Oryctolagus cuniculus: one gene and its partner. Each later gene encodes a partner of the first gene's protein in a complex. Links are inferred from orthologs where the notes say so. Each region holds a gene or a part of one and is shown in the gene's direction. Other genes may lie near its edges.

Region 1 (3,987 bases):
AGAAGGATGCTGCTTTCTAGGGACTCCCTGGGGCGTGGGGAGGAATGAAGCTAGATTTGTTTTATGAGGTGTGAATGTTGCAGGCATGCCAATCTCAACTTTTATTCCAAGTTTTTGTCCCTGCAGAGGTAAGAATTCAAAACAGAGCAATACATACAGAGCACGAGGGAGAAGACGATTTATTGAAAGAGTGAATATACATTCTCGTGTGAGTGTGGGCATCCCTGCATGGAGAGATGCTTGTCATGAGTGGGCCAGAGTTGCCTAGGAGGAGAGAGAGGGCAAGGAGACCAGAGAAGGACCGTAAGTATGCTCCTGAAGCCAAAAAAGCAAAAAAGGAGTGTTTCCACATTTATCAGTCCCTTTTGTGAGGTACTGGGTGGTGCTCTGATAAGTATGCAAACAGCATGGAGTTCAGTGTGAGGCAGTTTCATGGTGCCTTGGCTAGCAACTTACCTTCCACGTGGTCATTATGGTTCCCTTCCTTCCTGATCCCTGATGAGGCAGGTGCATCATGGGAAAGGGGGCACACTGGGTTGACAGGTAAGGGGGAGGAGTTGCCATGCAGGGTTATGCAGAAATTCTGAGAAACTATTCCAGCTCAACTCTTTCTACCTAATCTTCATGCCTAGTTCCCCCATCATTAAAAAGAGTTTTCTAGATGCACAATAGTGTGAACATATTTAACGTCACTGAACTACACACTGAAATAGCTAAAACCGTGACTTTTACGTTTTGTGTATTTTGCTACAATGAAAAAAAATAGGATCACAAATGGTTTTGGTTCCTGTGCTGAAAAGCTTACTGCAGCTTCCAAGAGCCATGCAACAGGAAGGTTAGAACAGCATCATGGGAATGCAGACTGCAGAGACAATCCTGGGGAGACACCAGTCGAGTTTATGAAGAAACGGACATAACAGGTAGGCAAGTAGGTAACTCCCTGAAATGCTCAAAAACCGTTTGGGAGAAGCCTTCCATTGCTGCTTGAAAAACCAGAAGGCCCAGAAGAATCGGACTGAATCGCCCCCTCCAGTCTCACTCCTTGGGCGCTCCCTGGGTATGTAATGGAGAAGCCCGGCTGGTCCAGCAGATGGCGCTAACGCCCATAGTGCGCCTCCAGTCGCCTAGGCGGCGCTCTGGCGGTACCGCTCTTCCCTACGTCTCGGTGACCCTTCCTTCCGCTTCCCGAGCCCGCCTCTTCTCCCACTAGCGCGGAGGTGCGCCTGCGCTGGTTCCTGGCCCTGGGGAGCATGGCGGCGTCTTCGAGTGGTGAGAAGGAGAAGGAACGGCTGGGAGGCAGCTCTGGAGCGGCAGGCGGTAACAGCACGAGAGAGCGGTTGTTATCTGCGCTTGAAGATCTGGAGGTCTTGTCGAGGTAATGGCGCCGGCCTGAGAGCCTGGCTGGGGCTGGGCTGGGGGACTGGCCCCGGAGCCCGCCGCCGCCGGCCCTCTGCGCTCATTCCTGGGTCTCGGCGGGGAGGCCTGAGCTTGGGAGTCCCCGGTGCTTGAGTGTTAAGGATATGGGGTCTGCAGATCTCTGGGACTCTGGGCAACACTTTTTTCTTTGCCGTCAGAGAGAATTTTAGTCATGACAGCCACCCTGGAAGTCCAAGACGGCAAGAGCCAGAGCGAACCTTAAGAGGTCTCGCGTTGGGAGACTGGCACTAATGGGCTGCCCCTTGGGCGCCAAGCACTAGGAGACTGTCGTGAAGGGGAGGCTGGGTGCCGACGCGGAGGAGCCCGGGGTCAGGGAGAGACAGGTGGGTAAACAGTGCTGGTGCGGGGCTCGTTCTTGTCCGAGCAGTGCGTTGCGGGCCCGGGAGTGTAGTCAGGGCAGGCTTTGGTTGGAAAGAATGAATTCATCGGACTCAGCAGGTGGCAGGGAGGTGACATAGTGTGTGCAAACCTTGGAAGTCGGAGGCCCCAGGCCCTGGCGGAGTTGTAAGGTGCTGGGGATGGCCGCAGAGCAGCATGGGAGACGGGATGGGATCTTGTTCTGCAGGCTCTCAGTTTTCACGGTCGTCTTTCAAGTCGGGGCCTTCCTGTCTTCTGTGGTTAACCTGGATCTAAGTTGTGTTGTTTTTGCAGCCTGCCAAAAGTTTCTACTTTCTTTTGTACTTGATATACTTTGTCATTTTATACTGCTGAGCACCATCGTTATTTTAAAAAGCATCTCGCATCATTCTTCTTAAAAAATACTCGATAGCCCGTATAAGCAGAGTCAGGCCCAGTGTCGGGTTTCTGTCAAGGAAAGACCAGATATATGATTATGCTGTGGTGGTCCCTTAGGATTATAATGGAGCTGAAAAATGCCTGCAGCCTCGTGGCCTTGTTGCCCTCTGTGCTCGTGTTTGTGGTGACGCTGGTGTGAATGGGCCCACCTGCTGCCGGGGGCGTGAAAGTGTAGCACATACAGTTACACACAGCCCCTCATTCCTTTTCTTTAAGGTTACTTATTTGAAAGGCAGAGTTACAGAGAGAGGGAGAGAACGGGAGCGAGCTTTTCCATCCACTGGTTCACTCCCCAGATGGCTGCAAAGACCAGGGCTAGGCCAGGCCAAAGCATGGAGCCTGGAACTCTGCCGGGGTCTCCTGCCTGGGTGGCAGGAACACAGTACTTGGGCTGTCTTTCGCTGCTCTCTCGGCACATTAGCAGGAAACTAGATAGGAGGGGTATCTGGGACTTGAACCCGGAGCTCATATGGGATGCCAGTGGTGGCTTCACTGGCTATGCCATGATGCCAGCCCCCGTCCATAATTCTTGATAATAAATGACTGTTACTGATTTATGTATTTACTGTGCAATACTTTTCATTGTTATTTAGAGTTTATTCCTCCTATTACTTAAAATTTAACTGTTAAGCAAAGTGCCACATTCTGCTGGGAGCAGCCTCCTATACCTTGTTTTTGCTGGGAACTGTTGATTGCGTCAGGCCACAGCAGGTGGCCGCTCCTGTCTGGGTTTGTGTAAGTACAGTCACCTCACCGTGCATTTGAGGGATGCCTGACTACTTCCCATGTCACCGCCAGCTGTACTTCGTCAGTGCCATTCCTACTCTATCTCTAGCTGGCTGAATGATTGAGTTGTCTTTCAGCATCTGTCTCAAATGTCACCATTTCCGTAGCCAGCATTCTGTGACAGCAAATGCCGATCTGCTTACACTCAAGATCAGTACTTTGTCTTTGCTGTGAATTTAGCCCTTGCTGTACCATTACTTACCAATGTTAAGTACAACATTTAGTGATGTAATGAAAACCTAAAAACACGCAGACAACAGAAGGTAAATGGCTTATAAGCTTCATCCACTGTTTACATTGTAGTAGGATCACAAACAGGGCACCTGGAATTTTCGGTCAGCCATTGCTCAGTACAGGAAACAAACTCACAGGCACCAGGCAGCTGTCCAGGCTTTGCCTCCAAGTGTTTACAGACGGAGCATGTCCATCTTCGCTGGTTTAGTAGTTTATGGTGGAAAACTTGTCAGTTCCCTCATTAGCCAATCCTCTTAACATCAACATCCACATTATTTCTTAGTTAACAAAAAAAACACACTAGCAAGGTATTTAGTATGATGTTTCAGTTAAATTATTCACGTGTCTGTTCTGTGTGACATCATCTGTGAGACAGCTAACTGAATGCTCATTTAGTTCCTGTTGAGTTCTCACTGTTTGTAGTTGCTCAGCTCCAAGTTACCAACATAAAAGCTGCCTAGCCACTGCTGTTTTTTTTTTATTTTTTTTTTTTTATTTTTTTTTTTATTTTTTTTTTGACAGGCAGAGTGGACAGTGAGAGAGAGACAGAGAGAGAAAGGTCTTCCTTTGCCGTTGGTTCACCCTCCAATGGCCGCCGCTGCAGCCGGCGCACCGCGCTGATCCTGGCAGGAGCCAGGAGCCAGGTGCTTTTCCTGGTCTCCCATGGGGTGCAGGGCCCAAGCACCTGGGCCATCCTCCACTGCACTCCCTGGCCATAGCAGAGAGCTGGCCTGG
Region 2 (4,033 bases), on another chromosome or scaffold:
TGCTGTTGTGCCGTTAGTAGTTATGCGATCTGCAGACACGTGCCCTTAAGACTTGGGATCCTCATCCGAAGAATAGAATTGATCGTGTACTTAGGTCATAGCTTTGGCAGGAAGATGATGTGGAGAGGATGTGAGACAGTGATGCCTCTTAGGGAGTTGACCCTGGAAAGATGCCAGCTGAAGTCGAGGGGTGCGCATCCGCAGAGGCACACGGGTACTTGCCGCCTCCTGACGTCGGAGGGGTGTGTCTTAAAACTGTTCAGATCGGTTTAAAAGAGCACTTGAGAATCTTCAGATTGGATGATAATACCTATGTTTAAAAAGGAGTAAGTAGAAGTGATTGTGGCCATAGAAGCTGTGGGTTTGAATTTGGGTTTCAAGTTTCTATAGTAGATACAGAAAGGTTAGTAAATTGTAGCATAAAATGTAGAAAAAAGATACAGACTTGGATAATCATTTCATCTAGGAGCCTTGGATGATACTGGGTATCTAGATTTTAGTAATGTTAATTTTGTCAAAATGTTTGAGTTATAAGTATTTACTTTGGGAAATCACTTCGTAATAGTAAAAGTGATTGTAGGGGCTGGCATTGTGGCGCAGCAGGTTAAATGGCTCCCTGCAACACCAGTATCCCATATGGGCACTGGTTTAAGTCCTGGTTGTTCCAATTTTATCTGGCTTCCTCTCATATGCCTGAGAAGGCAGTGGAAGATGGCCCAAGTGCCTGGACCCATATCACTCACAAAGGAGATCCGGATGAAGTTCCTGGATTCTACATGGCCCCGGCCCAGCCCCAGTCCTTAGCAGCTATTTGGGGAATGAAAAGGCAGATGGAAGATATCTCTGTTTCTCCTTCTCTCTCTGTAACTCTGCCTTTCAAATCAATAAAGTAAATCTTAAAATCATCTACCTTCTAAAAAAAAAAGTGATTGTGATATGTGTTTGGGCGACAGCATGTGTAGTTTTGCTATAAAGAGATGTGGAGAAATGGGACATAAAAGGTAAGTGGTGTAGAATCCAGAAGACTTTTCTTTATAAATGAAAAGGTACTCCAAGATATTGGGAGAGAAGTATTAACAGGGAAGGAAAAATAATGTGGGTTGTTGAGAATATAGTGCTTAATTAGAAAAGGGTGGCATCCATTCTGAGTTGTAAGTGTTAGCTTTGAAACTACCGGAAGAAAAGGGGAGTGCTCTGTCTGTAAACACTAAATGTGACAGGTTTGTTTTGTAGTTCTTCTGTGAATCTTTGGTTTGTTTTTGTAGGTGCTTGATCTTCCACAATGGGTGAGCCACAGCAAGTGAGTGCACTTCCTCCACCTCCTATGCAGTACATCAAGGAATACACTGATGAAAATATTCAGGAAGGTCTAGCTCCCAAGCCACCCCCTCCAATCAAAGACAGTTATATGATGTTTGGCAACCAGTTCCAATGTGATGATCTTATTATCCGCCCTTTGGAAAGTCAGGGCATCGAAAGGCTTCATCCTATGCAATTTGATCACAAGAAAGAACTGAGGAAACTCAATATGTCTATCCTTATTAATTTCTTGGACCTTTTAGATATCTTGATAAGGAGCCCTGGGAGTATAAAACGAGAAGAGAAGCTGGAAGATCTTAAGCTGCTTTTTGTCCATGTGCATCATCTCATAAATGAATACAGACCCCACCAAGCAAGAGAGACCTTGAGAGTTATGATGGAAGTCCAGAAACGACAGAGGCTTGAAACAGCCGAGAGGTTTCAGAAGCATCTGGAGCGAGTGATTGAGATGATTCAGAATTGCTTGGCCTCTTTGCCTGATGATTTACCCCACTCAGAAGCAGGAATAAAAGTAAAAACTGAACCAATGGATGCTGATGATAGCAACAATTGTACTGGACAGAGTGAGCAGCAAAGAGAAAATTCAGGTCATCGAAGGGACCAGATTATAGAAAAAGATGCTGCCTTGTGTGTCCTAATTGATGAAATGAATGAAAGACCGTGACTCATGTTAGTTTTCTTTTTTCCCTTTTGGTAAATAGTATAATATTACTGGTTTATTTTCTTTTGGGCAGTCTTAAAATGAATAACTAAAAGTTTAAATGGCCTTTTTCTTGACTCTCCAGCTTTTTCACTTACGTAATGCCATAGGCAGCAATTTCAGTATATAACAAGTGTAGGCAAACAGGGACCCGTAAATTAAGAATAGTGACCTGAAAAAGAAAATGTTTGCTGCAGATGTGTGGGGCATTCTTTTTTTTGGAGTTGGAGTAAAAGTTTGACAGTGTCCTTGGTAATAGCAAACTTTCATCCTTAAAAAGTAAATTTGTCATTTGCTTTAAGAATGAGGGATAGATACTCTAAAATGTGAAATTATGTAATATTTAAAAATTTACCTAATCTGCATAAGGTAGTATAGCATTTTAAAAGAGACCCATTTGTTATGAAACAAAAACTTTATTTTTCCTTGTGATTCTTGTAACTCTACTACCTCAGTAGACTCTTTTTCCTTATCTTGAACCTTGGTAGGTCCCATAAATTGGTTTTTCTCAGTCACTTGGGTAGAAAGTCTTTGGTCAGCTTAGTTAGAAATTTTAGATTACAGATTTTAGTAATTAAGAGGATTGAAATTACAGATTTTTAAAAATATTTGTAATTCTTTGAAATTACACATTTTTAAAGCTAAGCTCAGACATGATCAAGGCTGGTAGACTGCAGTGGGAGAAGGGTTTGGTGGGAGCAACTGCTCGATGTCCACCAGTGATTCGCGCTTCTTCTTGCTGAGATATCACTGTTCAGCCAGTGACCACATTTCCCTACTGCCCTATATCTGTGTGAGGCCATGTGACTAAGTTCTGGGAAATGGAGTCTGTGCCCTAAGATTTCTTGCACGATCTTCCATTCTGTTCCCCAGTCGGCTAGGTGTGTGCCCACACCCATGCAAGCCTGGTGACAACAGTTTATAGTAATTTGGTTCTAGAATGTGAAGATTAGGTCCTCTTTTAACTCCATTCTTCCTTCTACAGCTAACTTAATGTGAACAAGAAATAAACTGTCTTGGGTACTGAGATTTTATTTCTGTACTTTCTTTTCTCCTCCCTCCTTCCCCCTCCCGCCCATTGGCCTCATATCAGGATCTTTGCCTGCTACTCTCTGACAGAAGCCAGTGGTTCTCCATTGTCCTTTTGGACCAGCAGCATTAGCATCACTTGGGGATTTGTTAGAAATCAAGCTCCTCTGGCTCCACCCTGGACCTTCTGAACCAGAAACTTGCTGGTGCACAGGGCGTGGCAAGCTTGGTGTTAAGCCTTCCTCCAATTCTGATGCATGCTCAAGATTACCATCTGTAGAGATGGGCCTTTTCCTGGGTGATGTGCTTTTGATTTCTCCCTCATTTCCTGTTTACTAGCATAGGGATTTGCTGCATTAAGGTCTCACCAACTCACTGTAAAATGGTTACAGGCCAATTTCCCTGTGTGAAATATGCATTCTTTGCATTCAGACAGAGGCTGTTTCCAATTAACACTTCTAGCAGACAAGAACTAATTAACAAGTCTCAAATTTAAGGTTTTTTTTTTTTTTTTTTTTTTTTTACCAACTGGAATATGCTTGGTGTAGACCTTGGGACCAGAGACCCCCAAAGGACATTCTGGTTTCCCTTAATTAAATTAAATTTGTTCCACACCTCCTCCCTCATACCTTGGTCAGTGAGCAAGATGGAAATGGCTCTTGAACAACTCAACAACCGTTTCTCTTTTGACTTTTTAAAAAATACATTGCTGTGAGAGGAGTGTTGGGCTGAGGTACAAAACCAATTTGGGACCACTTTGAAAATCCTTGCATGTAAGAAATGAAATCATTTAACATTGTTAAGAGTCACAACAGTTACTTGTAAATTTGTGTGTGTGTGTGTGTGTGTGTGTGCGCATTGAGGGGAGAGGTATTGATGGATTGCAATGCCATAGGTTAGCTTCACTTTAGCCCAGAGCTAATCAAGGAGTTCTGTGCAGTTGCACCTGATGTAACTCTTGATATTATAGTGGAATGAAACGTT

The links. Proteins that work in one complex are often made in the same cells at the same time.
Region 2: MED4 (region 1) and MED7 share a complex: the UniProt entries of both Homo sapiens proteins name them as parts of the mediator complex. The link is inferred for Oryctolagus cuniculus from reciprocal best matches to the Homo sapiens genes MED4 and MED7.

What each region holds. Positions count from the first base shown.
Region 1 is NC_091440.1:67,125,645-67,129,631, reverse strand, and holds the start of MED4 (mediator of RNA polymerase II transcription subunit 4), read left to right. Parts: upstream 1-1,169; 5' UTR 1,170-1,250; coding exon 1,251-1,375; intron 1,376-3,987. UniProt on the Homo sapiens protein: Component of the Mediator complex, a coactivator involved in the regulated transcription of nearly all RNA polymerase II-dependent genes.
Region 2 is NC_091437.1:44,110,579-44,114,611, reverse strand, and holds the start of MED7 (mediator of RNA polymerase II transcription subunit 7), read left to right. Parts: upstream 1-1,282; coding exon 1,283-1,984; 3' UTR 1,985-1,989; intron 1,990-4,033. UniProt on the Homo sapiens protein: Component of the Mediator complex, a coactivator involved in the regulated transcription of nearly all RNA polymerase II-dependent genes.